Daphnia pulex: one gene and its partners. The protein of the gene in region 1 purifies or fractionates together with the protein of each later gene. This does not show direct contact. Links are inferred from orthologs where the notes say so. Each region holds a gene or a part of one and is shown in the gene's direction. Other genes may lie near its edges. The genes, in order: U1 small nuclear ribonucleoprotein 70 kDa-like, tuftelin-interacting protein 11-like, small nuclear ribonucleoprotein Sm D1-like, splicing factor U2AF 50 kDa subunit-like, arginine and glutamate-rich protein 1-like, U5 small nuclear ribonucleoprotein 200 kDa helicase-like and pre-mRNA-processing-splicing factor 8.

Region 1 (3,963 bases):
CCATCTAGGTATCTCGGGCAATCTGCCTTAGTAGAACTATGGAAACATGTTCACAGATTGTATGGTTCCATTTTTGGGTTTATTTTTGTGGGCGGACCGGCGGAGTGCTTGCGGTCACGTGATGATGGAAACTCGATTCAGAATCATGTCGTGTGTATCAGACTTTGCCGCGTTTTGTTTGTTTATTTTTTTGCATGTGCTAACGATAAAAAGGCCTATCCTTAAGCTGAGTTAAGCATGAAGGACGAAACAGTATGAGTTTTTTGGCGCAAAAAATTTAGCTAACTAAAGTAAAATTTTGTTATGGTCTTAAAGTAGAGAGCTAGAGACACCGTCTCAACTTTCAGACGATAAATACATCAAGATTAAAGACATTCCTAATCCTAAGAAACCATTAATTTCAATTAATTCAATAATTGAATTCTACGCCATCAAGAGGCCAAATAATATCGAACAGTTTTTTTTTACTTTGTTTTGGTTTGTCTGCAAGTAGAAGTTGAAATCCAAGCTGATTTTTGAAAACCACAATAACATTAACCGAACTTAACCGCATCAGCAATGTATTTAAGAAAAGGCCGAAAAGGCTTTGTAAGAAAGAAAGGAACTAATTTATTTATTTACCAATATTTGGGACTTGGATGTAATTGAAAGATGCTGTACAACTTGAATCTTTTGAGATGCAGTAATGAAATAAATCTTACCGTATAAAATATGTTTACCATATATTAAACCTTGTCAAAAATGCACGTAGAAATTCCCCCTTAGTCTCATTTGAAACCTAATTATGTCTATTTTTATGTAGTATTTATAGTTTTTTTTCCTTAAAGAGCATTAATTTAAATGTTATAAGTTACCTACTACCTACTTACTAGACTCCACTTTCAAGAAATTTAATGAAAAATATCAGCGCCAAACCCATTAAAATCCAATAAGCAATAAGCAACAAGCAAACTAAAGGGCCGGGGGTCTAGTATTACGATTATAATATTTAAAACAATATAAAAAGTAAAAACTGATACAAATTGGTTGGGGCCAAAACGCTGTTTTTGACTGTAGTGACTATTTACTTTTATATATGTCTGATTCTGATCTGGTATTGATTCGTCTGCTTTTTTAAATTTAGTTTTATTTCTAGTTGCCAAATATATATTTTGTTGCTAGCCTATTTACGGCTCAAAAAAAATTTATGAAATTGGTCAGATAAATTAGAAATTACAAAATCCCGCTGTTTTTCCTAAAATCTCAATCCCATCTCATCCCACAATACCCGTTTTTTAAAACGGGTATTTTCAATTTTAAAAACTTGAAAATTTCAAAAGTGGGAAAATCCCACCAAAGACCAAAGTGGCAGCCCTGCCGAGCAATAGATAGACAGTAATGGACTAATGGCCGACAGCTAAGACGCTCGACCGAGAAGCTTTTTGAAAGGTCCATGCTCATTGAAATATTTGTGAAATGACGCAGTTTTTGCCTCCAAATCTTTTGGCTCTTTTTGCGCCACGCGATCCCCCTCCATTTTTACCACCACCTGATAAATTGACTCATGAAAAAAAAAGAACGCCATACATTGGTATAGCGCAGTATACAAATCTGTTTGAGGTTAGTATTTGATTCCATTAAAAATTAAAAATTGATATAGTAGTCAAGGTAAGTATTGCAATTTGATCTAATTTGATTGATTTGGGAAGTAATGTATGTCTTAATTTACTAATGCACGGGTCCCAATCCCAATTTATGGAACAGTTTTGGTTCATTTATTCATTCTCCTCTAGATGTGTCGATGAGAATCCCAAGTTTTCATGTGTGACATGTGAGATGCAAAATATTTTGTGAAAATGTTGTGAAAGTGTCTTAATTTTCTGGAAGCACAGTGTTTCCAGCTGAGCCTTTTATCAGGTTGACAATTTAATGTTAGCATATGTCTGAGGGGTGTAAAGTAGTCATTGTTTCACAAAGTTTTAAATGAGAGATGTGGAACGAAACATTGCATACTAGAAGCATTCTGATGAACTAAGTACTGAGCTTTCAAACATAACGAAATTTTTAATATCATTTTATATTCTTAACAGGATCCTAAAGATACACCCCCTCCTACGCGAGCAGAAACACGGGATGAACGGCGCGAAAGAAAACGTCGCGAAAAGGCAGAACAAGTTGCCTATAAACTTGAACAGGAAATTGCAATGTGTAAGTTCTAATTTTTGGTGTGTTTCTACAATTTCTTTTATCAATTTCCCTTTTCTCTGGCATTCATAGGGGATCCACACAGTAATGGTGTTTCTACCATGGACCCCTTCAAAACGCTGTTCGTTGCTCGCATTGTAAGTGTCAATACTCATACTATAATTTTTTTTTCTCATCACTTTTATTTTATTTCGAGCTTAATGAATAATGAGTGCTAAGTTATAACTAGTAATCCGCATGAATGAAACGATAATTCTTGAAACATTTTCTCTCAGAATTTTGATACTTCGGAATCTAAATTGCGCAGGGAGTTTGAAGTGTACGGAGTTGTTCGGAAGGTAACTTACAAGCACCATGTGAAATTTAATCACACGCTTACCACGCTTTTTAATGTTACAGATTGTGTTGGTGCATGACAAGAGGACTAGTAAGCCACGCGGTTATGCATTCATCGAGTATGAACATGAGCGAGACATGCATTGTAAGTATTTCTTTTCTATTATACCTAAGTCGTGTGGTAACTGAGGGTAGTGGGCTAATTAGTAAGGCCTGCGATAGCTTTCACTGTTCAATTAATCGTCGCACCACCAATTTGTATGATGATGAAAGGGGTGGGGGTGAGGTGGGGAAAATCTGTGATTGATTTGTACCTTAAAGTTTTCCTATATTTCATTTTGTCGTTTCCGGTCACAGTCGCGGCCTCCGACTATTTGGACGGTCATGTGGCCTTTGTCGCTTTTTGTCTCTTGATGCTAGGTTTGTATGGTCAATTGGTAAGGTTTCGTTTGGTTAAAGTTAAACCAAAATCCCTTTGAAATCGACTGCAGGTTCAAATTAGCTTCAAAGAAAGTATCTTTTCGTTTTCACCCTCCCTTCCCCTTGATGGTAGTAAGTATCCTGGTAAGTCGGTTACTAGGCTTTCTAGCGCCACTAAAAATTAGGGCCATTTCAATTCGATCAGATTCTTCGAGTGCTGCTGCGCGTTAAGAGGATTCACAGGTAAAGATGGGGACAGCTTGAAGAGGGAATGGATCTGCTTCTGTGATTGGCAACATTTGATCGCTTATTAATAGATCTGGATGTTACGTGAACATAGCCGTAATCTGGTAAACGGCCGTGGCGTTGGTTTTTTATGCATTTTCCAAGTGTTATGATTGGTCATACTTGAAATCATTGCATTTTTCGTTATTTGTTAATTCACGGTAAATATTTTTCGAAATTGCTGGGAGGGGTAGGTAATGGAGATCCTTCGGTAGGTGATATTAGGTTTGTGATACTAATTGTTGGAACTCTCCTTCTCCATGTTATACACGCTGAATTTTTCGTCTTCTCTGCCTGCTGTACTACCCGTATTTACGATTTGTTCGTTTTGCCGACGGCGCCGAAATACTGGTTTGTTGTTTTAAAATACCAGCTGCGTACAAACACGCCGACGGAAAGAAAATAGACGGCCGCAGAGTTCTTGTAGACGTAGAAAGGGCAAGGACTGTCAAAGGTAATTATTTTAATTAAATAAGTTTTATGTTTATAGTTTGCTGCCCTTTTTTTCGAAGGCAAATTTTAAAATTTGTTTTGAAAATCCATAGGTTTTTTATTTTGATTAATCAGTGTAAATAAGTGCACAAAATTTTTTTCTTCTTGTTAGATATTATAATCATGCCGCCATGGTTTCTAAGTACCTAAACTATTGCATTCCAGGTTGGCTTCCTCGCCGTTTGGGTGGAGGCTTGGGTGGGACTCGTCGTGGAGGACCAGATGTAAACGTAAAACATTCAGGAC
Region 2 (4,366 bases), about 6.3 Mb from region 1:
CGATAACGGTAAGAGTTGAAAACGATTCTCGGAATTATACAAGATTTATAACAGAACATTAATTTTCTTTCATGAAAAATTATAAACAAATATGTTGAAGTTAATATTCGTGATCTCCTCGTCTTTCCGTGTGACAAAAATGACTCAGTAAATATTCTCTTTATTTTTTTTTTGGCTTCAAATGTTTTTAGGTGTCATTACGGACAAAAATGTCCTGCCCGTCACCCGCTTGAATTTTGGCCGAACTCAACTGGAAACTTCGTCGGGCATCCACACGCTTGGTCGATTGGTGTGTACCGGATCAGTCGCCCTGACTAGAATGCCCACGTCATGTAAGGATCTTTGGTTAATTGGCCACACCCTCAATGGATTTTATTCCATTATGGGATCTACGACGATGGAATCCGTTTACTGCGATTTCACCAAAGTTCCTGGCGATGACGGTAAATGTTTATTTTTTTTTCTCTTTATTATGCACTCTGAATTATTATTTAATAACAACAAATTATTTCTAAAAAAGGTTTCGAGAAATGGATTGGATACGCTGATGTCAAATCAGCGCCCGCCCATTTCTACGTTCAGAGAAGTTCTTCATTCAACACGGAGTTGGTTCCAATTCCTTTTGATGTGGCGCGGATAAACGTGGGAAATGCCTTTAACTTAACAACAGGAAAATTCACGGCCCCACGATCAGGAGTTTATTCTTTCGCTTTTACTGGATCGGTTGAACTTCCGGCTACAACGTCTCTAGTTCGCTTGCAAATCATTCTTTATCTGAACGGGAATGGAGTCGGGATTGCTTATCTCGAAGAGGGAAACACCGTCGCTTTTCAAAATGATCAGTTGTCCCTCCAGTCGACGCTGAAATTGAAATCAGGTGATCAAGTTTGGGTTCAGATTCAACAAATCTTACCAGGGGTGTATTTGGCTGACAACGGTGACCACTACACTCATTTCACCGGTTTCATGTTGGAGGAAGATATTGCCTCGTCTCTTTGAAAATTTCAGCTGAAGGAACATCCAAAATGCGAAAATCGACCATGGACTGAATTTTGACCCGATTATTGAAAAATATATTACGAGTGGTAGAAAATAATTTGATATTAATTAATAAAGGAATGGTAATTTGCTGGAGTAGGATTGAAATAAGATTTTTTTTTAATAAGTAAAAGGGAAGGAAGTTCGAACTGGTATCACATGTTCAAACCGCTGGGACCTGTTATACGCGCTCGCACTACGTACCTGGTTACTGTTTAGCATTCTCCAAGGTAGCAGAAGAAATATAAAAATACTAAGCAACTTTGTACTTTCAGTTTTAACTGTGTTGTGTGTTGTTAGTTTGTGTTCTTCAAACTAAATCATTATTTGATGTGTTTCTAACTGATACAAAAGAAAGACATATATCATCAACTTATTTGGTTAATTTTCATCATCATTTTACTAAATTTTTGAAAATGGCTAATGAAGAAGAGATGGAGAGTTTCGATGTGTCAGAAAGAGATTTGTATGATGCTTTCCAACCTGGTCAACGTCGTTTTAAAAAGATGACGAAAAACCAACAGATATATGGAGTATTTGATGAAGATGAAGGGGAAAATTTCACTCAGCGGTCAACGTCATCTTCTGGCCGTCCAGGTTTTTCCAAATCGTCAACAGCCAAGGATTACACCACACCAGTTGATTTTGTCAAAGGTGGTGTTCAGCAGGGATCAAAAAAGGAGAAATTACCTGAGAAAAAAACCAAGCTCTTTTCGTATTCAGAAAGGTATGCCATTACATAGTTATCTTTCAAAGACAATTACACAGTGCTTTTCTGATTTTATAGTGACGAAGAAGATGATTCCCACAATAGTGCCAGTGAAATCAATCTTACAGCTGGAAAGAAAACATTGCAGGACAAGAAACAGCCCAGAAAAATGTTTGATAGGTTCAGCAAAGATGCTAAGAGCTCAGGTGCTGGCGATCTTGGTGAATGGGAAAAACATACTAAAGGAATTGGTGCTAAGCTTCTATTTCAGGTGTGTCAGTTTTATTTTGTTGAATGCATCCCAACAGATTAATTTACTATTTTAATAATTTTTCTTTGTTTAGATGGGTTACCAACCTGGAAAAGGACTTGGTAAAGAGTTGCAAGGAAGAAGCCAACCTGTGGAAGCTCAGGTTCGCAAAGGAAGAGGAGCAGTTGGTAATGAAACATTGCTTTTGATTTTCACTTAACTTATTGATCTCTATTGTTGCAATTTCTTCATGTCATAGGTATGTATGGAGCTGAACACAAAAATGAACCTGCAAAGAAACAAGCATCAGATGATGAAGAAGAGAAAGAGTTCAAGAAAAACTTGGCCCACTGGAGAAAAGGTAAAGAAAAGTTAATATACTAAAATAGTGAGTAATCTTTTAAAAAATGAATATTAGATTTAGTCGAACCATCGTCGAAGAAAAAAAAGATCCAATATATGTATCGTACTTCCGAAGAAGTGATTGAAGAAATGTCTAAAGGTGGTGTTCATAGAATGGCTCGAGAATACAGGTAATAGTATTGAGATTTTAAATCAAGACCTTTCATTTTTTCTGCATGAAATCTAAAACACTGTTGTATATATAGTGAAATTTCCAAAGCCAAAGTGATTGATATGACAGGCCGAGAACAACGTGTTCTTCAAGGATACAGCGCTCTGAGAACCAAAAGGACGGAAGAGCCAAGCGATTCCGAACCTGCACCAGCTGGACTCAAAGTTGATAAATTTCAACTTGAAAAACTCTGCTACAACTTGGACACTCTAGTAGACCATTGTGAACACGTAAGATATTATTGTCACAATTATTTGGATTTCATAATCAATTCTGTTTATCGTTAATAATAGGAAATTATTCAAAATGCCAAAGAACTCTCCTACAATCAAGAGCAAATATTGGCCATGGAATCGCAAGTGAAAAATATGAGCGTTGAGGTTTCTAAGGAGATCACACGAATGGAAATGCTTACATCGATGCTTGGAGTCCTGGAACAGCTTGAACTGAAACAGGCGACAAACGAGCTATCTCTAGACTTCCTTTGGGAGCAGATAAGGAATTTGGAACAAAGCTACCCGGAAGAATACGTATCGTCGGATCTAGCCAACGTTACTCTGACTTACCTCATTCCCCTAATGAAGTTGCGATTATCAACCTATTGGCGTCCCATGGATTCTAAATCAACAGATGAAGCTTGTCGTTTAATTTTTCAACGATGGAGACCTATCTTGGAATTTTGCAACAAGACTCAGACCAACAGGTAAGAATATTCGGTGGGAGGTGGGAGTGAGTTGCTTTGTAAAACATTTTTCAAAATTCACAGTCGGGGCGGAATTGTTAAAAATGATAGTCGAATGGATCCTTATCACGGGTTGTTATGGCATGCCTGGATGCCAGCATTTCGAGGACTCGTTGGACAGTGGACTTGCAAAAATGCGGATCCAATGGTTGACTTGATCGAGTCGTGGGAGCAAATTTTGCCAAACTGGATCATGGAAAATATTTTGGATCAACTCATTCTTCCCAGAATACAAAAAGAAGTAGACAGTTGGAATCCGTTGACTGATCTCATTCCCATTCATGCCTGGATCCATCCCTGGCTTCCCCGACTAGGTAGTGCATTTATACTCGTGTTAGATAGTTGCATCATGTAGTAAATTTAAATAATTTCAAATTTTCAGGATCAAAACTGGAAATCGTATATCCCAACATTCGGCATAAAATGGCACAAGCGTTGGTGGCTTGGTCACCGTCAGATCAGTCTGCACGGTATTTTTTTTTTTTTATTAGTTTTTAAAAGGCTGACTATCTTTAACGTGTAACTTAATATATTGTGTACTTCCGTATGGATTTTTTAGTTCCGTTTTGATGCCTTGGGTTCCCGTTTTCTCCAAGGGTTCCATGGATGCTTTCCTCATCAAAAATATTTTACCAAAACTGCAAGTTGCTATTGCAAATTGGGACATAAACCCCAGTCGACAAGAATTAGGTTCGTTACTACAATACTACAGAACTTAAATACGTTTATTAACTTTTACATTGAATACATAAATAGATGTTTGGCACTGGATAATGAACTGGAAAGATCTTATGCCTTCCCAAAGCCTTATACAATTACTTGTGTAAGTATAATCTTGTATCATGGGTTTAAACTAAAAAGTACAATCTTCTGTTTTATTATTGCAGGTCCAATTTCTTCCCAAAATGGTTGCAGGTACGTTGAATTTATTTCACAGCTGTTGTTGCAAATTATGCATGAATTTCTTTTTCTAGGTTCTGGTTGCGTGGCTAAACCACCACCCAAATTACGAAGAAATTGTGGTTTGGTATACTGGTTGGAAGGCCTTATTCC
Region 3 (2,816 bases), on another chromosome or scaffold:
GACGAGTTGTCTTTCTATAGAAACAAAAATCTTACTTCAAATTACCCCAACTTTAACAGCAAAAATAAAAATGTAGGATTACCTTGCTTTTCATTTCCTTTTGATGTGTCTTCAACAAACTCTCTGACCTCTTCTTGGATTTATCATGCATGGCCACAATTTTCTCAAGCTTCTTATTCCTTTTTTGTTCCAAGTATTGTTTCCTCATTTCAGCTTCAAAATCCTCATCTTTTTCTTTGGATGTACTAGGCTGCTAAAATTATATTAATTAAATTATAGAAATTAGCAATGACCAGCTAAGAAAATTTCATTATATGTGTATCTATTGTACTATCTGAACCTTGGAAGTTGGTGTTGAAGTCCATTGATCTCTCCCTACAACCTCAGGTTTGTCAGAACGATTAAAGACACGAGGTCCCAGGCCAAAGTTTTTCCTTTTCAGTTCTGGAAGCTCAATCATCCAATCTTCTCTTTTTGGTTGCTTGTTGGCTTCATCATCATCCACACCAAGCAACTTCCTCTTCATCTTAAGAGCCCGCTGTTCAATGTCAACTGATGAACTATGTTCAGCATCCATACAATCAGCTGGCAGTGGTCCAATAACTTCATCATCTGATGAAGAGTCAACTTCATGATTAACAGAGCATCCTCTGTCATTGGAGATATTTGATTGCACTAACTTGCTGGACACTTTCTGTGATTTTAAATGAGCGGGAAGTGCTGGTCCGTAGAGATCACCTTCATCAGAATCTGAATCATCATTTTCATACGCTGTTTGAAGATGAGGAGGTAATGTTGGTCCGATTCGAGACATTTTGAGAGGGAAAAATTAAAACCACGCGGGAAATTGAGAATGCGTTACCGACAAAGAATTATTTTTAAAAAATCGAAAATAGGTGAAACCGAAACCCAATGTTTAGCTTACTGGAAATGCTGTTATAGTATGCAGGCCTGTCTCATGTGTTTTCTGTTTTGGAGTACGTTTTATTGTCACTCATGTCATGCCACTTGTGTTCTATGCGGTTCTATGATACGCTTCGATAATGCTTCTGGATTTATGAATTTATTTTGATAAATAAATTTAAAATAATAAAAAAAAATTATTATTAGTTAATTTTTGATTAAAATATGCAAAAATAAACCTTGTCTAATAACAAAATTCAAAATATTTGCGTAGATGGCGCTACGTTACAAGTACAAAAATCATAGTCATCGACCGTTATGAAATATGAAATGTCACAGGGCCTTTTTAGTATAAGTTATGCTTCCAACAAGCAGTTTTGGTTTTTGACTAGCGTACCTCGTGCGTTTCACTAAACTAAGGATTAAAACATTCAATAAGTCGTATATGGTGATTTACTTTATTACAGCCATCAAACAACAAGTTTATCAAAAATGAAATTAGTGAGGTAAGTTTCGGAATATGTTCATTGTCAAGTAAATTCGTACAGAAAGTAGCCACAAAAATCGGTTTGGTCTGGGTATTAAGCCGGTTGTTGGATGCGTCTGGGAAACTATGCCGTTTCTATATTTCACAACTTAAATAGTTCACTGCTTTCAATTGAAATAAATACCATTATTTTGTATAATCCTTAGGTTTTTGATGAAACTGAGCCACGAAACAGTCATTATTGAATTAAAAAATGGTACTCAGGTTCATGGAACAATAACAGGTAATTCAATTTTGTTGTCTTTATTCGATTTTTTATTTTACTGCAATCCTTAAATACTTTCTTCGAAAACTTAGTGAAATTGCAAACACATAAGTGACATTTTAGAAGAAAAGTTTTCCGTTTTGTATATTACTAAATTCATTCATTTGATTATGTTTTATAGGAGTTGATGTTGCTATGAACACTCATTTAAAAGCTGTGAAAATGACAGTTAAAAACAGAGACCCTGTTCAGCTTGAAACTTTGAGTATTAGAGGAAACAACATCCGGTACTACATTTTACCTGATTCACTTCCTCTTGAAACCTTACTATTGGATGATTCTCCGAAAGCCAAGGCCAAGAAGAAGGATGCTAGCGGTAGAGGTAAACTTTTTTCCCCTTATCACTGTGTTCCTCTTTTCATTTTCTTTTCTTTTTTTAGCTCGTGGAAGAGGCCGTGGACGCGGAGCTGTCAGAGGAGGACGTGGACGAGGACGTGGACGTGGTGCTACTGGTCCTCGACGCTGAAATTTGTAATTTCCAACGATTTTCCATTTTTTTTTTCGTTCTTTTCAGCAAATGTGGAATCAGTTTTCATTTGCATTACAAATTGTCATTGTCTTATATGTTTTTTGGTCAGTTGAAAAGTCCTTAAAACAAACACTTTTTTCCCCACAGTTGAGTCTGTATGAGAATTATTTATCAATTCCAATTGACTCCCATGTAAGCATAGATAATTTGTAGAGAACCGTCAATTCCTTTTCTTGATTTATAAGCGGACATCGCATAACGTTTCCTTGCTTATTTCAAGAATATTGACTATTCTTGCCATTTTGTCAGAGGAGTCGGGGAAAAAACAAGTGTAAAGAGCGGTGTAATAAGTAATGAAAGTTTGATGGAAATGAAAGTTAAATTACTTTTCTATTAAATTTAGACTAAAACTATTCAATTTTTTGTGACTAAACCATTAAACTTTAATTTAAATTAAGAATGTCGCAAATTTAAGGAAAACTTGACATGTTTAAGAACAGTCGTGGCTACAAGTTTTATTTGCTTTTGTAACTTCAGTTTAAGAGGTATTTGCGTTTAAGAGGCTTTCGGCGATATCTGCTCCTAATTTTCTATTATTCATACATAGAATGAAATGCAAAATTTGCATTTTC
Region 4 (4,235 bases), on another chromosome or scaffold:
TAAGCAAGAAAAAACAATCTTTAATATCTACATTCAGAATCTTACATCCTTCGCGAGCAAGAAATAGATTTCTCTTATCCTTATGTTCCTTTTTTTCAGCTTCTTGCTTTTTGTGATCGAGGTCTTCCCGAGTAACTGCAAGAGCCACGTCTAAAATGCGTCCATCTAACTGTAAATATGGATTTCGAGACTCTTCTAAACACTTTTGAGCCGATTCCGAATCCTAAAAATGGTTAATATGAAAAGTTATTAGTATGTATTTATTTTTGCAATAATGCAACTTACTCTAAATTTTACGAATCCAGTGCCCTTGGGTCTCTCCATAATTTTATCCATACACAACAATGCATAGTGAACACTGCCAAATTTTTCCATGAAATTTTTCAACGAGTCTTTTGTGGTTGAAAAGTCCAAATTTCTGATAAAAAGAGTCTTTCCTTCTGCTACATCACTCTTCTTTTCTATTTCAGAATTATCACCCTTCCAAGCTTCTTCTTTTTTTGGACTTTCTTCTTCACCGGAACCATTCTCAACTTCAGAATCAGAAGCTTCTCCATCTTGTTCTTCTTCATCATTATCTTCTTCTTCATCATTACTTTCTTCATCATCAGATTCTTCATCTTTTCTGTCATTTTTCTTCTCTGGCGGCTCAATGTTTGGAACTTCGTCAGTTTTATTATTTAAAGTGGCATACTGTTGTTTTGGTATGGCCCAATCAATAGCTATTTGCCTTCCTACAAAAAAAAAACAATTGATAAGCTATTATCAAATTTAAAATGTTAAAATTTTCTTACCAAGAAATGGTTTTGCATTGCATTCTTTGATTGCTGTAGCCGCACATGGAACTGTTTTAAATTGAACAAAACCACAGCCAACTAAAGTGCCACCAGGTTTCTTTAATAATTTCACATCCTCAATTTCTCCATATTTCTCAAACCAGTTTTTAACAGCTTCTTCTGTTGCCTGTTAATAAATTAAATCAAGTACTAACTTACTAACATACTAAAAGTAGCATAAATTAAAGTTTCTTGGCTTACTTTGAAAGATAAATTGCGAATAATTATTCTTCCTCTTTTATTGGGTGGTCTCTTCTTTGATGTGTTTGCTTTAGTAACAATAGAAGCTTCTTTTTTAACTGAAGAGTGATTCATCTTTTAAATCTATCCAAACACGTGCTTGTCTGTATAACTGATGTAGCTAGTCAAGCAGACGATTATATGTGTCAAAATGTAGCATAGACTGTTGTCAATTGGCAAAATGACAACTAATGAGGATTAACATGAATACAACAATTACTCAGAAAATAAATTTTATGTGGCTATTATTTTATGAAATATTTAATCTTACCTTTCAGTATATTAATCAAAACCAAGTTTGAAATTGTAAACATTAAATCGACGTTGCCGGTACAAGGAGTCAATCGAACCTCGTCTCCGACGCCATTCGCCCATTCCCAGCCTTTAATCAAACCGGCTTACAGTCTTAGTGAAAATTTGGACAATAATTAACTGTTTTCCTCTGCTGTGTTTCTTCTTATTGTCGTACAAAAGCTAACAATCACACGTTAATCATGGGAGAAGATAAAGATGATCGTAAAGGTATGTTTTAACTTCTCTAAACTACTTCTGTCAATATCAACTATAATGCTTTTGTAATGTTCTTAAGAGTCTGTGATGCTTAAGAAAGAAATGTTTAACACACATTACTTACAAGTAATGGGTGTTTAATGATCTGGTTGTATTTTACACATAATTTCATAACTTTTAATGGTTTATAATGTTGGCTCGTGGTTTTGCTTTTGTATGGAAATATTAGTCATAGTAGTTAGAAGGTAGTCAAGCAAGTAAACTTACTTGTTTGATTTATTAACATTTGAAATACTTTAGTTGACAGGGAGAGAGATCGTGACCGTTCCAGAGATAAGGAAAAGGACAAGGAAAGAGACAAGGATAGGGAAAGAGATAGAGACAGGGATCGTAGACGGTCCAGGTCTCGTGACAGAAAGAGAAGGTCTAAATCTAAGGAAAAGGAGAAGGAGAAGAAGCGTAGCAAGTCCCGTGAACGTGAACGCAAAAGGAGTCGTTCTCCTGTTAAAAAGCAACGCCGAAGAAAGCCGTCTATTTACTGGGATATTCCTCCTATTGGTTTCGAACACATCACACCCATGCAATACAAAGCAATGCAAGGTATAAATCCTTATTCAAGTTTCAATTTTAATGTGCTAATTATTATTTTCTTGAATCTACGTAGCTGCCGGACAAATTCCAGCTAACATAATGACGGAAGTAGCCCCACAAGTCCAAGTACCAGTAGTGGGTAACACAATCACTCGTCAAGCCAGGAGACTCTATGTTGGGAATATTCCTTTTGGAGTTTCTGATGTACGCGCAGCGGAGGAGGAAATGATGGATTTCTTCAATCAACAGATGCATTTGTCTGGTCTGTCTCAAGCTCCAGGTCATCCCATTTTAGCTTGTCAAATTAATCTGGATAAGAATTTTGCATTCTTGGAGGTTTGTTGGATTGTTTTCACGTGAAACCTAGTATTTTAGTGGAATATTTAAATAATTTTGCTCTTTTACTTTTCAGTTTCGGTCAATTGATGAAACTTCCCAGGCCATGGCTTTTGACGGTATTAACTTTAAAGGTCAAACTCTAAAAATCCGCAGACCCCATGATTATCATCCAACACCTGGTGGTGGCGGCGGAGGAGGAGGAGGTGGTGGTCCCGAAACAACGCCCGGCATGAGTTCTGGTGGTATAACTGAAAAGAGGGCTGGAGGTGGAGGTGGTGGAGGAGGAGGAGGCACAAGTAAGGACGACTTAAAGTGATTCTTTTATGGCAAATTTCTTTAATGTATTCATTGTTTTTTGCTCAGTGAGCACGATCGTCCCGGATACACCCCACAAATTGTTCATCGGTGGACTTCCAAATTACTTAAACGAAGAACAAGTAAGTTACCTGTTTCGTCGATGTGACTGTAAAATGTGTTTTCGATTGGGAGAAGAAAAAAGAGTGAGAGAAATGGGATTTGTGAGCGTCTAGTTGAAGCAAAATCGATTCTGATGAATGTCTTCTTCTTTCGTTCTCCCTAAACAGTGGTCACGTGATCCTTAAAACTTCCTACCCATTCCAACCACACAACCTCGATCCATCTCCCCACCGTCGATCCCTAGATTGTTATTTTTGAAGGTCGACTCTAGGCACGCACGCAAATTGTCTCATTCGAATTTAGGTAAAGGAATTGCTGATGTCTTTTGGACAACTTCGAGCCTTTAACTTAGTTAAAGATACGGCTACTGGCTTATCCAAGGGATACGCTTTCTGCGAGTATGCCGACGTCACCGTCACCGATCAAGTAAAGTAGACCATGATAATATTCCTTGAAAAACCATTACATCTAATTTTATTTTTCTTTCAGGCTATTTCCGGATTGAACGGTATGCAGTTGGGAGACAAAAAGATCATCATCCAGCGAGCCAGTGTTGGAGCCAAAAACGCCGCTGCTTACGCCCAGATGCCAGTCCAGATTCAAGTACCAGGATTCAATCTTGCTGCCGGTCCTGGCCAACCGACAGAGGTACAAAAATCAACCTTGTCTAATGCGACAATTTTTAATTTCATTTTGGTCTTTTCTTTTGCGTAGGTTCTATGTCTGCTGAACATGGTGACACCCGAGGAATTGAGGGACGACGAGGAATATGAGGAAATTGTGGACGATATTCGTGAGGAATGCAATCGTCATGGAGCCGTACGTTCAGTCGAAATTCCCAGGCCGTTGGAGGGTGTCGATGATGTACCGGGAGTTGGCAAGGTCTTCGTCGAGTTTATTTCGGTGAGCGACTGCGTTAAAGCCCAGCAGGCGCTGACAGGTCGCAAGTTCGCCAATCGTATCGTCGTTACGTCATTTTACGAACCGGAACGCTATCACCGACGGGACTTCTAAGCCATGACGGCTTCTGTCATCAGACAAAAAGTAATCCGCAAGATATGCCCCTTCTTTTTTTTTTTTTTTTTACTTTGATGAAACAAATAACGTCATGACGAACCGACGCTTGATGAGAATAAACGGCCTGATGCGTACGGGATTTCCCTTGATGAATTTGATTTTCTTTTTCTTCAGTTTTTTTTTGTCATTTCTAAATGGGTTTTTCGATATTTTGCATCAAGTTTGTGTTGTCCAACCTCTTTGTTTGGCGTGTCGGTGAAAAAACAAAACAAACAATAACATGTG
Region 5 (4,141 bases), about 320 kb from region 1:
AGGACTATTTTGGCAATACTGGGGCTTTCCGCTGTTTAGTGGAGGGAGGAGGTCACGTTGCCTTTGTCCGACACGCTACTGTTCTAGAAAACACTGATGGTAAAAGCCGAGAATATTGGTCCCGAAATCAGCTTTCGCGAGATTATGAGCTTCTGTGTCGTGATGGCCAAAGAGCTCCCGTGTCAGATTACGCTCGTTGTAATCTAGGGAAGGTCAAAGCTAATGCCATGGTTGCAAGAGGAGGACGAGGCTACAATAAAACAGAAATCGATGCGTTCATAAACGTTTTTATGTATGCGCAACAATTTTACGGGCTGAAAGGTAAACAATTTTTACATTTAATTATTTCAAAAAATTAAAATCTTGAATTACTGTAATTTAGGAGATTATTTGGATTTTGCGTTGTTCACGTCTGACCCTCCTTATAACGACGTAATTTTTCAAGACGCCACACAGAAACTGCAAATCGTCCCTCCTAGCCAAAGGCATTATCACAAATATTTGGGACCTGAGTTCTTGAGAGCCAGACAGTTAGTGGATTGCCAAGCTGGGGCCCCCACTTTAAAATCAAGCATTACTGCAGCATTCACAATTTTTATATTCGTTTTTAATCATATTAGGTTATAGAATCTACCTCTTTTTTTAAATGACTTTGACTTCAGTGAACAGACACAGTGCCTAATGTTTTCCGTCCATTTTCTCACTGCAATGAATCTCTGTTTATGATGTAGATCGACTTTTTTTAAATTGGAAATACACATCCAATTTACGTTTCTTGATGCGTGGTTGATTTGAATTTGCAAAGCGATCGTGGACTCCTTTTTATGACTGTTATTTTTAGCTCACCCTCACTCTTTACCGTAATTTTAACAAAATGACCTTGTTGCTAGTGTTTCGTCTTCTTGGCTTAAAGGAATCTAAACTAACGTTTCAGGCGAATTTCTTTTAGATTTTTATGTCGTGAAAAAAAAAATCTTATAATCACAAGAGCTTGAATGTTTCTTGTGGTCAGACACATTCTTATGCAGGATAATATATATTTTTTTTTAAGTTCTTATCTTTCTAGTTGTGCTGTCTGATATTATTTTAGTTTTAAATTCAAAATTTGAGCTTTTTTCTTACTTTGGTTGGGGTTTATTATTTTCAGCTGACTTTTAAATCTTTTATTGAATAAACCCCATTTCCGGCAGATGGCAGCTCAATCGCCCGATTACATTTTCATGAAACATGAAGTAGCACTCCAGGAGAACTCACGCAGAAACGTAGTAACTTGGTAAGACAGCCTGAGCTGCGTATCGCATTGTTCAGACTTCAGAGATAGATATTAGATTTAGATATTAGATAACATTGTGGTCGGAAATTAAAGGAAGGGAATAACCACTTGGTAAATTCTTCCCTACTCATCTTTTCATCAACTGTTCTCTAAATTCCTTCCCTAGTTCCCTGAATCTGAATGTACACATCCCATTTCCCATGTACCTATGCCCCTCCTTCAAATGCCCGAACTAACCAGCCGCAACGTCATCTGTGGAGCTCGCCATGCGTAGCTCAGGCTTTCCAATGTGGTTGGTGACTTCCTCTGGTGCACTTCTTGTTTTCCATCTTCACATCAGTTTTATTTCTGTTTCTGATTTTAGATGGCTGTGGTGTGTGTGCTGATGTTGAATTCGACTAGAATATCTTGTGCTTCATAAAAAGGTATGAATTCAATATATTTCTAGATATTTAAGAAGTCTTAATCGAAACCTTGGTGTTCAAATGTATCATAGATGCTATTAATCCTTTGTTTTGTGCACTTCCATTGAAGAAGAAACATCTGTTATATAGGCGTTTTCCTAAATTCGGATGGATTAATCTGAAAGCAACCAAAAAAATGTGTACGACTCGAAAACGAAATTTGTTACGTACCACTATTAACTTGGCTATTAAAAAAAAACTTAGTTGTACACCAAAACCTTTATCATATTAAATTGATTGGATCGCATGCATGAGACTTTAATCATAAAAGCTGTAGTCAATGAAATTCTTAAATCAAAGTGTGTATTTTGAGCTCTTATACCTTTCTATTTAACTGCATGAAGTTATTGAAGAAAATCCAAAGATAAAGAAGTTACTAAAAGTTTTTATTTCTATTCTCAGTTTCAGAGTTGAAAAACAATAATGACAAAATCGAGAAGCAGAAGTCGCTCAAAATCACGAGACAGGGTGAGGAGAAGCAAACATAAAAGACGCTCTAGGTCACGGTCGCGATCGAGAAAAAATGAAAAACATCGGATGCCTTCTAGTCGCAAGGATTCTTCTGAGACTAAATACAGGTTAACTCAATTGCAGTATTCAAAAAAAGATAGAATTTCTTTATTCAGCGTTTGAAATGTATCATTAGGAAGAGGTCAAGATCATCGTCCTCTTCCAACAGTGATTCTGATGCTGGTTCCCGGAGATTAAGGCTTGGTCGGAGTAAACTTAGTGAAGTCGAAAGACTCGCTGAAATTGAACGTCAAAGAGCAGCCCATAATGCAAGAATCATGTAAGAAAAAACAATAAATTGTTTTGAAGTCTGGGTAACCGTTAATTGTCATGTTTCTTTCAGGCGTCAAAAGGAACAGGAACAAAAGATAGTGGAAGAAGAAACTGTCAAAAGAATCGAGGAAATGGTGGCGCAACGAGTGGCAGAAGAATTGGAAAAGCGGAAGGACGAAATTGAAGCTGAAGTCTTACGGCGTGTCGAAGAAGCCAAACAAATAATGGAACGACAAATGCTGGAGGAGCTAGAAAGGCGACGGAAAGAGAGGCTGGAAGAAGAAAACCGCCGCGAGGTATCGTATTTGGTTGGATCCAGTTATCTCCCGTTTTCTCACGGGCAAAGAAACGCTGAATTTGCAATCAACTTACAGCTCGTTCCCGATGTAGTTGCCACATTTTTAAAATGGTGGCGATGTCGTTATCTTCTCAAGATTTAGGAAATTGTTAAAGTGGAAAATTGTAAATTCAGCCGTTTCCGCGCATACAAAACATGAAGAAGTCTATCGGCGACATTTCTCTCCCATCTTGCATCTTGTTCACAAATTTATAGCTCTTTTCTCCCGGCGTTCATATATGCATTCCGCGCCGAATAGGAGCGGGCTGTCTTGTTTTGTTTTTTCTATACAAGACATTTTATTCCTAAACCTAAAAAGAAGATTTGCAGAGAATTCGATTTATGTTATCAAGTGATGAGAGAGAAATTGAACGGTTTGAGGCCCTTTTTAATGGTGGGTCATCATTTCGATCGACATCTGGAGTATGCTGACAGTGAGATCTCTCCGCCGAGCAAGGTCAGTTATTTTCTGGTACCGTGACCTCCAGTGTCAATTCAAGGGTCATCAGGGTTGTGCAGGTAACAGCAAATCATCACCAAACAAAACACATTTGTTTCCCCCTCTCTCGATATATTTGACATTATCCTCATCGTTTGACATGACTGATTGTTCATTTCATTTGTGCTTCACTATTTATGTTAATTAAAAAAAAAATGCCATTTATCTTGGTAACTTCGGCCACCATCACTACCCTACACCCCGTTTTTAATGGCGTGACTTGGATGGGTATATGGTTCCGCGTGCCGTTTAACGTCGTCCTAAAGTATCGATTTTTTTAACCTTACCCATCGTCCCTTCCTATCCTGCCTCATCTTCCCTTATGCACCCGGATACCCGTTTGAAACAGGAAGAGGAAAGGCGCAAACGCGAAGAGCTCGAACGGATCGTGGAAGAGAATAATAAGAAAATCGAGGAAGCCCAGCGTAAACTCGTGAGTTTCATACAAAAACAAACTTGAAAGATAATCAATTTACAAAATATTGTATGCATTTTTATCCTAAATTTTAGGCGGAGGAACGTTTGGCCATGGTGGAGCAATCGAGAAAAATGGAAGAGGATCGACAAAGGATGCAACGCGAGCACGAGAAACGGATGCGCGACGAGCAATATTTGATTTTGGGAAAAAAGAATGCTCGACCCAAATTATCTTTTTCACTTAGTAAACAGTGATGACTGATTACGGGTATCCAAGCAACCAAATTTAATATTTCTCGCCATTTCTTTCGCCTAGTATTGCTATGCTGTACAGAATTTTCTTTTCACGATAGCTCCACATTAATTTC
Region 6 (4,239 bases), on another chromosome or scaffold:
TCGCCCAAAACGTCTCCTTCACCGGCGCCCCCACTAGCGCCACCATCTACTACCGGAGCTTCGGTCTTTACAGTCAAGAGCAGTCCCGTTCGTCGGCCCCGCGGCGAGGCCAAAAAGTGCCGCAAGGTTTACGGAATGGAACACCGCGAGCAGTGGTGCACTCAATGCAAATGGAAAAAGGCTTGCACTCGCTTCGGCGAGTGAAACAAATGACTATACCACACCCCAATGTGTACGTATATATATACTATTTAATCCTTTCCGAGAAAAAGAAAAACAACCGCTCGGATTTCCGACTGTAGAAATTTAATCCGTTTTCCGCTTGATTTTGACATGGAACAAACGTCTCCCCTCCTTTTTCTTTGTCTGATTGTGTTTTGTTGTTTCATGGCTATTTTTCTTTTTATTGTTGTCGACAGGAAATTTTTTTTTAAATTTTGATGTCTGGTGCTGGATGTATTGCGGAATAGGAGCCAAGTTTTTGTGCGGATGACGGATCTCAAAAGATCTATGACACTTGGCGCGCTGGGCGGTTGATATTGTTTGAAACCATTTTTACTTGCGGGCAACTTTTTGACAAAAGACAAAAAAACGTTTTGACTTTATTTTTTATTTTTTTAATTATTATTGGCTTTCGTATTTGTTATGACAAATTCATGCCGGAGCGTGTTGTTGTGTGTGCATAATTTTCGTTGTGAAGATGCAGTGTTGTTTTGTATCTTGCCACTGACCAGGCTGCCGTAGCTCAGTGACGATTTCTCTGACTGGTGTCGTTATTACCTCTCGTACAACATCATTGAAAAAATATTGTTTTCATCCCTATGTCCCACCTCATATCTGCGTTACTCTCAAAAAAGCTTTGTACAGCGTTAGATGGCTTTTTTCTCTACCAATGTTTCTTTATTTCGTCGATTTAGAGTTATTTTTGCAATAACGCTGCGTGAATTTTAACGTTTATAGATTTACCCTATTTAGACCTGATTTTGTTTTTCCATCTCCTTTGTAGTTCGCATAGTGGGGGGTTTTGTTTCTGTGTTTTTTTCTCATTTCATTCTCAAGACCGATGGACTTTTGAAAAATGTTTGGTTTTTTCTCCTTACAAAAATGGTGTTTTAGTTTCTTAATTGCTTTTTTTCTGTATTTTTTTTATCCCTTTTTTCGCGCGTGTCGACCCAGAGTTTTATGGCGAGATTTTTAAATTTTTCAATATACAAATTTCCTCTCGAATTCTGAATTTTGTTTTATTACAAACTGGCAACGCTGTCAATTGCCTGTTCGAACAGCATACGAAACTTTCGTCAGTGTCTAAAAGCAAGCCGTAAGAAATGGCGGACGCCGCAGCACGTTCGCTCCAGTACGAGTATAAAGCCAATTCTAATTTGGTTTTACAAGCTGACGTTCGTTTAATCGATCGCCGAGCACGAGATGAAGCCACCGGTGAGGTTATGTCCCTTACTGGGAAGTTGGAAGGAACTCGCATGGGTGACAAAGCCCAACGGATGAAACCGGCAAAACGTCAGAAGCGTGATCCCAACAAAACTGATATTGGTGGTAAAAATGGTGGAAAAGGACCTTTGCAAAGCGACAACCTGGATGAAATCTCTGGCATCATCTACAGGCCCAAAACGCAGGACACCAAACAGACTTACGAAGTGCTTCTCAGTTTTATTCAGGAAGCGTTGAGTGATCAACCCAGAGATGTGTTGTGTGGTGCTGCTGATGAAGTCCTCACGGTTCTCAAGAACGACAAGCTCAAGGATAAGGAGAAGAAAAAGGAAACAGAGGCTATGCTTGGCTCCTTGCCAGAAGAAAGATTTGCCCTGCTCGTTAACCTGGGTAAGAAGATCACAGATTGGGGCCAAGACGAGAAAATGGGTACTGGAGAAGAGCAAATGGACGACCAGTATGGCATCAATGTGCAATTTGAAGACACAGACGAAGAAAACGAAGAAGAAAATGTGTATGGAGAGATTGGAGAAGAAGATGACGGTGAGGATGAAGCTGATGAAGCTGAAACAGACCATGCCATTCATGCTGATGCTGTCGCAAGTGGCGTCGATTTGGGCGGTAAAAAAGAGAAGAAATTGCATCCCCTCGATATTGATGCCTATTGGCTTCAGAGGAAGCTGTCAAAGTTTTACAGTGACCCCATGGTGTCTCAAGCCAGAGCCGGTGAAGTCCTCAACATCCTCAAGAATATCCAGGATGAAAGAGAATGTGAAAATCAGCTAGTTGTCTTGCTTGGTTTTGACTGCTTTGACTTCATCAAGCTGCTTAAACAAAACAGACACATGATTCTTTACTGTTCGTTACTGGCATCCGCACAGAGCGAAGCTGAACGTCGAAGCATTCAAGACGAGATGAAGAGCAATCCCCATCTGAACAAGATCCTTCGACAATTAGATACTGTGAGGGACGACACTGGAATCGAACCGATGGAAGTCGATTTTAAAAAGAGTTCACGTCAAGGTACTTCTGCCTCCAAAGAAGTCGGAGGTGGAGGACAGGAAGGGTACAGTGGCATTCCAGGTCTTCGAGAGCTACTGGACTTGGAGGATCTTGCATTCGCTCAGGGCTCTCACTTCATGGCCAACAAAAAGTGTACACTTCCAGAAGGTATAATAATTTAGTTTCTCATCTTTTAATTTCAATCAAAATTTAAACATGGACTTGTATTGCAGGTTCTTTCCGAAAACAGCGTAAAGGCTACGAAGAAGTTCATGTGCCACCATTGAAACCTAGGCCTTTTGATGCTGATGAAATGCTTATTCCTATCGATAAACTTCCAACCTACGCCCAACCAGCTTTCGAAGGATTCAAAACGCTCAACAGAATCCAGTCTAAAATCTATAAAACAGCTCTCGAATCGGATGAGAACATGTTAATTTGCGCCCCAACCGGCGCCGGCAAAACCAACGTGGCTTTGTTGACAATGATGAGAGAATTGGGCAAGTACATCAATCCGGACGGAACAATTCGCGTTGATGAATTCAAAATCATCTACGTTGCACCCATGCGTTCGCTCGTACAAGAGATGGTGGGCAGTTTTGGCAAAAGACTGGCGCCTTTCAACCTGAAAGTTGCCGAATTGACGGGCGACCATCAACTCAGCCGTGAAGAAATTGCACAAACTCAGGTGATTGTCTGCACGCCCGAAAAGTGGGACATTATCACTCGCAAATCAGGAGACCGAACCTACACGCAACTGGTCAAGTTGATGATCTTTGACGAAATTCACTTGTTGCACGACGACCGTGGTCCAGTTTTGGAAGCCTTGGTAGCTCGTACTATCCGCACCGTCGAATCCACTCAAGAAGATTTGCGATTGGTGGGTCTTTCTGCCACGCTTCCCAATTACGAAGATGTGGCCACTTTCTTGCGTGTCCGACCCAAGACGGGTCTATTCTTCTTCGACAACAGCTACCGCCCTGTACCCTTGGAACAGCAGTACGTTGGAATCACGGAGAAGAAAGCTGTTAAGCGTTATCAGATTATGAACGAAATTGTATACGAGAAGGTAATGGAGCACGCCGGCAAGAATCAAATTCTCGTCTTCGTTCATTCGAGGAAAGAAACCGGCAAAACAGCACGTTCCATCCGCGATCTTTGTTTGGAGAAAGACTCTCTGGGAGCCTTTCTACGTGAGGGTTCCGCTTCTACGGAAGTTTTGCGCAATGAAGCCGAACAAGTTAAGAATCAGGAGCTGAAGGACCTACTTCCCTATGGTTTTGCCATCCATCACGCTGGTATGAGCCGTGTGGACCGTGCTTTGGTCGAAGATTTGTTTGCTGATCGTCACATCCAGTTGCTCGTTTCCACAGCTACTTTGGCCTGGGTAAATATAATAACTAATCAGAGCGTTTTAGAAAAGGTCAAATTTTAACGATTTTTTTACCAATATTAGGGTGTCAATTTGCCAGCCCATACTGTCATCATCAAAGGAACGCAAGTCTACAATCCGGAGAAAGGTCGATGGTGCGAACTTGGATCTCTCGATGTCTTGCAAATGTTGGGTCGTGCTGGTCGACCGCAGTACGATACCAAAGGTGAAGGTATCCTCATCACCAACCACAGCGAGTTACAGTATTACCTGTCGCTGCAAAATCAGCAATTGCCCGTCGAGTCGCAAATGGTCAGCAAACTACCAGACATGCTGAACGCTGAAATCGTTTCCGGCACAGTGCAAAATGTCAAAGACGCCGTCCATTGGTTGAGCTACACTTATCTCTACATCAGGAT
Region 7 (4,311 bases), on another chromosome or scaffold:
ATAGGTAGTCTTAGCGCCTTGGATACTGACATCACCTCTGAAAGCAGACCCATCTAATGAACGAAATCCGAACTGTGACATTTGTTTAGATAAACTGTTCGGGAAAAACCCAATTCAGTAGTCGTGATAAGGAAATGAAATTTGGGAATTGCGAAATAAGAGAATTTGAAGAAATTAAAGGTGTTCATTATTAAATAAAGGAAGTATAATCTAATAGGTAGAATTACTGGATTTTCGTATGATATGCATCAGGTCAAACTAAACTAAAACTTAAAAAACAGTTCCCCTTGAATTGGTGATGCACTTAGTGTATTTAATAATGCGCCAAAACTCTCAAACAATTATTGTTGGTTGCATAAATTGTGTGTCAAAAAATTCATTATTTAATATGATTTTAGCTCTTGCAATATCACAAATCAAAGGGGCAGTTCAATTATAAGGGGCATCTAAAAACTACAGTAAATAGTAATTATTTCATTTTTAGGCCAAACTCATATTCTTTTTGCTGAGGGTTTCTTTGAGCTCATTTCTGATATTTTCCATCACTTCTGGATTATTCTCTACAGTTCTGCTCAATTCAGTTAGAGCTGAATAAGCCATGGCTTGATTCAAAGGGCAGACTACAAATCCACTCAGTCTTCCCCATAGTCTTTCATACAAATTGTTCCTCTCTTCTACCGTAAAGTCCTCTCTTAAAGCTGTCATCAGAGGTTTGTAATTGCCATATCCCATAGCGTGTGATAAACCTAGGATTCCTGTGCCTGCGACAGCTCCTGCAAATGATGACAAGAAAAAATGATAGGTGCCAAATGGAAAAAAATGAAAACTGCCAAACTGAAAATTACCAATGACAGCTCCAAGAGGACCACCAGCTAAGCCACCAAGGAAGGTTGGCAAAGCAACAGTGGCTGAATCTTTTAATGGTCCAGCTAAGGAAACTGAAAGTGATTTTGTCCTCGACAGTTCCTCCAACAGACCTTCAATCAACTTGATTGCAAGAGTCTGAAATACATAAAACGTTTACATAAAAAAAAAAATGAAATCCTCTTTAATCTTGTCTTGAAAAAGGGGACATTATAATTTTATACTTCCATGGCAGTAGTCTATTGTTGTTACGATAATTGGAGTCACAAAAAATATTTTGAACTACAGACTAGAATGGTGATCATTAAGAATTTGCACTGAGTTCGGTTTAGTAGCGATAAACTTTCACTACTAATTTATCAAATCGAACGATAACAATGTGTAAACATGATAAGAAAAACGAAAAACTGCAACAAACTCAAAATAAAAAGAAGCAGACAAATTTCGAACGTGTGATGCAATAACAAACGGAGTTGCCGCTTATTTAAAAATAATTAAAATAAATATTCAAGCCATTTTCGACGGCAACTCCGTCTACAGTAAACCGGCATCGCGCTTTTTCGTACAAGCTGCGTATACTTCCGTGGCTTTCATTGTATAAGAAACGTGGAATTGCGACTGGTTTCTAGATTGTGTATAGGTTTTTAAAACTTTATTGGTGAGCATTGTCGTTTATTCTATTTCAAACTTTGTTTCATTGATGATGGTTTGTGTCTCAAAAGTAACTGTCTGGTGAATGTTTTAAGGCTAAACAAATAGTTTATTGCCATGAGAGTGGACATGCTTGTAAATGTCATGGCTGACTGTAAGCATTGGATGATGGAGCTATTATGTTCTAATTTTATTGTTTTAATTACCAGGGCCATAGCCCAGAAAGCTTAAATCAGGATGTCGGGAATTCCACCATTTTTTATTCCTGGTGTCACACCCCCAAATCCATGGGCAAATGCGGCCATGATGGCGCAAGCCCAGCAACAGGCACAGCAAGCCCAAATGGCTGCTGCGGTCCAAATGCAGGCTCAAGCAGCTGCAGCTGCTCAACTTCAAGCTGCTCAGATCCATGCAGTTCAAGCAGCCCATGCACAAGTGCAGGCTCAGGTTCAGGCAACACAAGGTAGTAATTGAGTACAAACGTTTATTATAACAAGGTATTTTATCAGTTTTATTTACATCAGGTCCTCCTGTAATAACTAGTTCGAAACAAGAGCAGATGACAGAAGAAAAAATGCAAGACAAGGCTCGTAAATGGCAGCAATTACAAACCAAACGTTATGCAGACAAGAGAAAGTTTGGCTTTGTTGATTCTCAGAAAGAAGATATGCCTCCAGAGCACGTCCGTAAAATCATTCGGGACCATGGTGATATGACCAACCGAAAGTTCCGTCACGACAAGAGAGTGTACCTTGGTGCTCTTAAATATATGCCACACGCTGTTCTCAAGCTCTTGGAGAACATGCCTATGCCTTGGGAACAAATCCGTGATGTTAAAGTACTCTACCACATTACAGGTTCGTTTCACTTATCTTTTCTTTATGTTGTATAAACGCTAATGGTATTCATTTGTTTTAGGTGCCATTAGCTTCGTCAACGAAATTCCGTGGGTCGTTGAACCTGTTTACATTGCCCAGTGGGGTACCATGTGGATTATGATGCGTCGAGAGAAACGAGATCGTAGACACTTCAAACGAATGCGCTTTCCTCCTTTTGACGACGAAGAACCTCCGTTGGACTATGCTGACAATATTTTGGATGTAGAACCCCTGGAAGCCATTCAGATGGAGTTGGACTCGGACGAAGACAAACCAGTTGCTTCTTGGCTGTACGATAGTAAACCTTTGGTCGATACTAAATTCGTCAATGGTACCACCTATCGCAAGTGGCAACTCGAAATGCCTCAACTGGCGACACTCTACCGTTTGGCGAACCAATTGTTGACTGACCTCGTCGATGACAATTACTTTTACCTCTTCGACCTCAAGTCATTCTTCACCGCCAAGGCGCTGAATATGGCAATTCCGGGTGGACCTAAATTCGAGCCACTTGTAAAGGACGGAAACACTCAAGATGAGGATTGGAATGAATTTAATGATATCAACAAGATTATCATCCGGCAACCTGTTCGAACAGAATATCGTATTGCCTTCCCCTATCTCTACAACAACATGCCCAACTTTGTTCATTTATCTTGGTGAGTAATACTGGCTTTCAACTTGTGCTTTAATGGCTGAGATATACACCGATATCCAGAAGATACTTGGATGTTGGTGGCTGAAACAGTCGTAGATAAAAAAAACCAAGAGCTCTTAGTCTTTACTACATAAAACTATATTGAGCCCTACAATGATTATTTCTCTTTTAGGTATCACACCCCAAATGTGACCTTCATCAAGACAGAAGATCCCGATTTGCCGGCTTTCTACTTCGATCCGCTCATCAATCCGATTTCGCATCGCCGTACCGAGAACAAGTTGGCAGAAATGTCTGAGCAAGATTTGTTACCCGACGATAGCGAAGAATTTGAATTACCAGAATATGCGGCACCACTGCTTCAAGTAAATTTTCCATCATCTGAAATTTTAGTTAAAAAGCAATTTTAATCGATATTTCTCTTGACAGGAATGGCCCTTGTATACGGACAACACAGCGAACGGTATTGCGTTGTTGTGGGCTCCCAGGCCGTTCAACTGCAGGTCGGGATTCACTCGTCGTGCACTGGATGTTCCATTGGTCAAAAACTGGTACCGTGAACACTGCCCACCCGGACAACCGGTCAAGGTGCGCGTTTCATACCAGAAGCTATTAAAGTACTACGTCTTGAATGCGCTCAAGCATCGACCACCGAAAGCCCAGCGCAAGCGTTATCTTTTCCGGTCCTTCAAGTCGACCAAATTCTTCCAGCAAACAACTTTGGATTGGGTTGAAGTCGGCCTCCAGGTAAATATTAAACTTTTTCCTGTTAAGAGTCCTTTATAATGATGAGTTGTGCAGGGGTCATGAAATTACCCATAACATGTTAGGTAGACATTGAAAGTCGGGTCTGGCCGTTTGCTAGCCAACTTTCGATGGGACAACGCACTTACTGATATTAACAATCCTCTTAACTTCACATTTCATATTTTTATATCTCTTCCCAAAGACTTAACCCATTTCTTTGTTTGAACAAATTTAGGTCTGTCGTCAAGGATGGAATATGTTGAACTTGTTGATTCACAGGAAGAACCTCAACTACTTACATTTGGATTACAATTTCAACTTGAAACCCGTCAAGACCCTTACAACCAAGGAGCGTAAAAAGTCACGTTTCGGAAATGCTTTCCATCTTTGTCGTGAAATCCTGCGTTTGACGAAGCTGATCATCGACTCCCATGTCCAGTATCGTCTCAACAACGTCGATGCTTTCCAATTGGCTGATGGTCTTCAGTATATTTTTGCTCACGTTGGTCAATT

The links.
Region 2: the proteins of U1 small nuclear ribonucleoprotein 70 kDa-like (region 1) and tuftelin-interacting protein 11-like fractionate together in Homo sapiens (co-fractionation; 3 studies listed by BioGRID, with this or other methods). This does not show direct contact. The link is inferred for Daphnia pulex from reciprocal best matches to the Homo sapiens genes SNRNP70 and TFIP11.
Region 3: the proteins of U1 small nuclear ribonucleoprotein 70 kDa-like (region 1) and small nuclear ribonucleoprotein Sm D1-like purify together in Homo sapiens (affinity purification with mass spectrometry; 6 studies listed by BioGRID and IntAct, counting the BioPlex papers as one, with this or other methods). This does not show direct contact. The link is inferred for Daphnia pulex from reciprocal best matches to the Homo sapiens genes SNRNP70 and SNRPD1.
Region 4: the proteins of U1 small nuclear ribonucleoprotein 70 kDa-like (region 1) and splicing factor U2AF 50 kDa subunit-like purify together in Homo sapiens (affinity purification with mass spectrometry; 4 studies listed by BioGRID, with this or other methods). This does not show direct contact. The link is inferred for Daphnia pulex from reciprocal best matches to the Homo sapiens genes SNRNP70 and U2AF2.
Region 5: the proteins of U1 small nuclear ribonucleoprotein 70 kDa-like (region 1) and arginine and glutamate-rich protein 1-like purify together in Homo sapiens (affinity purification with mass spectrometry; 3 studies listed by BioGRID and IntAct, with this or other methods). This does not show direct contact. The link is inferred for Daphnia pulex from reciprocal best matches to the Homo sapiens genes SNRNP70 and ARGLU1.
Region 6: the proteins of U1 small nuclear ribonucleoprotein 70 kDa-like (region 1) and U5 small nuclear ribonucleoprotein 200 kDa helicase-like fractionate together in Homo sapiens (co-fractionation; 3 studies listed by BioGRID, with this or other methods). This does not show direct contact. The link is inferred for Daphnia pulex from reciprocal best matches to the Homo sapiens genes SNRNP70 and SNRNP200.
Region 7: the proteins of U1 small nuclear ribonucleoprotein 70 kDa-like (region 1) and pre-mRNA-processing-splicing factor 8 fractionate together in Homo sapiens (co-fractionation; 3 studies listed by BioGRID, with this or other methods). This does not show direct contact. The link is inferred for Daphnia pulex from reciprocal best matches to the Homo sapiens genes SNRNP70 and PRPF8.

What each region holds. Positions count from the first base shown.
Region 1 is NC_060026.1:6,141,064-6,145,026, reverse strand, and holds the start of U1 small nuclear ribonucleoprotein 70 kDa-like, read left to right. Parts: upstream 1-1,163; 5' UTR 1,164-1,455; coding exon 1,456-1,599; intron 1,600-2,069; coding exon 2,070-2,187; intron 2,188-2,256; coding exon 2,257-2,321; intron 2,322-2,459; coding exon 2,460-2,522; intron 2,523-2,583; coding exon 2,584-2,665; intron 2,666-3,598; coding exon 3,599-3,679; intron 3,680-3,882; coding exon 3,883-3,963. UniProt on the Homo sapiens protein: Component of the spliceosomal U1 snRNP, which is essential for recognition of the pre-mRNA 5' splice-site and the subsequent assembly of the spliceosome. SNRNP70 binds to the loop I region of U1-snRNA.
Region 2 is NC_060026.1:12,432,215-12,436,580, forward strand, and holds the start of tuftelin-interacting protein 11-like, read left to right. Parts: upstream 1-1,417; 5' UTR 1,418-1,454; coding exon 1,455-1,765; intron 1,766-1,825; coding exon 1,826-2,018; intron 2,019-2,091; coding exon 2,092-2,185; intron 2,186-2,256; coding exon 2,257-2,358; intron 2,359-2,415; coding exon 2,416-2,530; intron 2,531-2,605; coding exon 2,606-2,801; intron 2,802-2,864; coding exon 2,865-3,274; intron 3,275-3,337; coding exon 3,338-3,627; intron 3,628-3,695; coding exon 3,696-3,783; intron 3,784-3,872; coding exon 3,873-4,003; intron 4,004-4,069; coding exon 4,070-4,136; intron 4,137-4,200; coding exon 4,201-4,228; intron 4,229-4,287; coding exon 4,288-4,366. Other genes in the region: uncharacterized protein LOC124205947, read left to right, coding at 1-8, 192-443, 521-999. UniProt on the Homo sapiens protein: Involved in pre-mRNA splicing, specifically in spliceosome disassembly during late-stage splicing events. Intron turnover seems to proceed through reactions in two lariat-intron associated complexes termed Intron Large (IL) and Intron Small (IS).
Region 3 is NC_060020.1:8,496,573-8,499,388, reverse strand, and holds small nuclear ribonucleoprotein Sm D1-like, read left to right. Parts: upstream 1-1,246; 5' UTR 1,247-1,395; coding exon 1,396-1,409; intron 1,410-1,596; coding exon 1,597-1,673; intron 1,674-1,836; coding exon 1,837-2,037; intron 2,038-2,095; coding exon 2,096-2,181; 3' UTR 2,182-2,277; downstream 2,278-2,816. Other genes in the region: GPALPP motifs-containing protein 1-like, read right to left, coding at 1-14, 83-253, 341-814. UniProt on the Homo sapiens protein: Plays a role in pre-mRNA splicing as a core component of the spliceosomal U1, U2, U4 and U5 small nuclear ribonucleoproteins (snRNPs), the building blocks of the spliceosome.
Region 4 is NC_060018.1:5,213,000-5,217,234, reverse strand, and holds the start of splicing factor U2AF 50 kDa subunit-like, read left to right. Parts: upstream 1-1,417; 5' UTR 1,418-1,570; coding exon 1,571-1,598; intron 1,599-1,886; coding exon 1,887-2,186; intron 2,187-2,250; coding exon 2,251-2,513; intron 2,514-2,589; coding exon 2,590-2,812; intron 2,813-2,879; coding exon 2,880-2,953; intron 2,954-3,236; coding exon 3,237-3,359; intron 3,360-3,422; coding exon 3,423-3,581; intron 3,582-3,647; coding exon 3,648-3,947; 3' UTR 3,948-4,235. Other genes in the region: RNA-binding protein 28-like, read right to left, coding at 46-223, 286-734, 795-963, 1,038-1,151. UniProt on the Homo sapiens protein: Plays a role in pre-mRNA splicing and 3'-end processing. By recruiting PRPF19 and the PRP19C/Prp19 complex/NTC/Nineteen complex to the RNA polymerase II C-terminal domain (CTD), and thereby pre-mRNA, may couple transcription to splicing.
Region 5 is NC_060026.1:6,458,998-6,463,138, reverse strand, and holds the start of arginine and glutamate-rich protein 1-like, read left to right. Parts: upstream 1-1,256; 5' UTR 1,257-1,384; exon of another isoform or gene 1,385-1,565; intron 1,566-1,637; 5' UTR 1,638-1,698; intron 1,699-1,807; exon of another isoform or gene 1,808-1,877; intron 1,878-1,886; exon of another isoform or gene 1,887-2,036; intron 2,037-2,139; 5' UTR 2,140-2,160; coding exon 2,161-2,315; intron 2,316-2,383; coding exon 2,384-2,527; intron 2,528-2,590; coding exon 2,591-2,816; intron 2,817-3,705; coding exon 3,706-3,789; intron 3,790-3,866; coding exon 3,867-4,028; 3' UTR 4,029-4,141. Other genes in the region: melanotransferrin-like, read left to right, coding at 1-321, 383-627. UniProt on the Homo sapiens protein: Dual function regulator of gene expression; regulator of transcription and modulator of alternative splicing. General coactivator of nuclear receptor-induced gene expression, including genes activated by the glucocorticoid receptor NR3C1.
Region 6 is NC_060022.1:2,646,436-2,650,674, reverse strand, and holds the start of U5 small nuclear ribonucleoprotein 200 kDa helicase-like, read left to right. Parts: upstream 1-1,280; 5' UTR 1,281-1,325; coding exon 1,326-2,616; intron 2,617-2,623; exon of another isoform or gene 2,624-2,629; intron 2,630-2,681; coding exon 2,682-3,835; intron 3,836-3,904; coding exon 3,905-4,239. Other genes in the region: zinc finger protein 704-like, read left to right, coding at 1-204. UniProt on the Homo sapiens protein: Catalyzes the ATP-dependent unwinding of U4/U6 RNA duplices, an essential step in the assembly of a catalytically active spliceosome. Plays a role in pre-mRNA splicing as a core component of precatalytic, catalytic and postcatalytic spliceosomal complexes.
Region 7 is NC_060027.1:2,049,048-2,053,358, forward strand, and holds the start of pre-mRNA-processing-splicing factor 8, read left to right. Parts: upstream 1-1,367; 5' UTR 1,368-1,522; intron 1,523-1,724; 5' UTR 1,725-1,752; coding exon 1,753-1,978; intron 1,979-2,039; coding exon 2,040-2,372; intron 2,373-2,433; coding exon 2,434-3,052; intron 3,053-3,223; coding exon 3,224-3,416; intron 3,417-3,480; coding exon 3,481-3,798; intron 3,799-4,033; coding exon 4,034-4,311. UniProt on the Homo sapiens protein: Plays a role in pre-mRNA splicing as core component of precatalytic, catalytic and postcatalytic spliceosomal complexes, both of the predominant U2-type spliceosome and the minor U12-type spliceosome.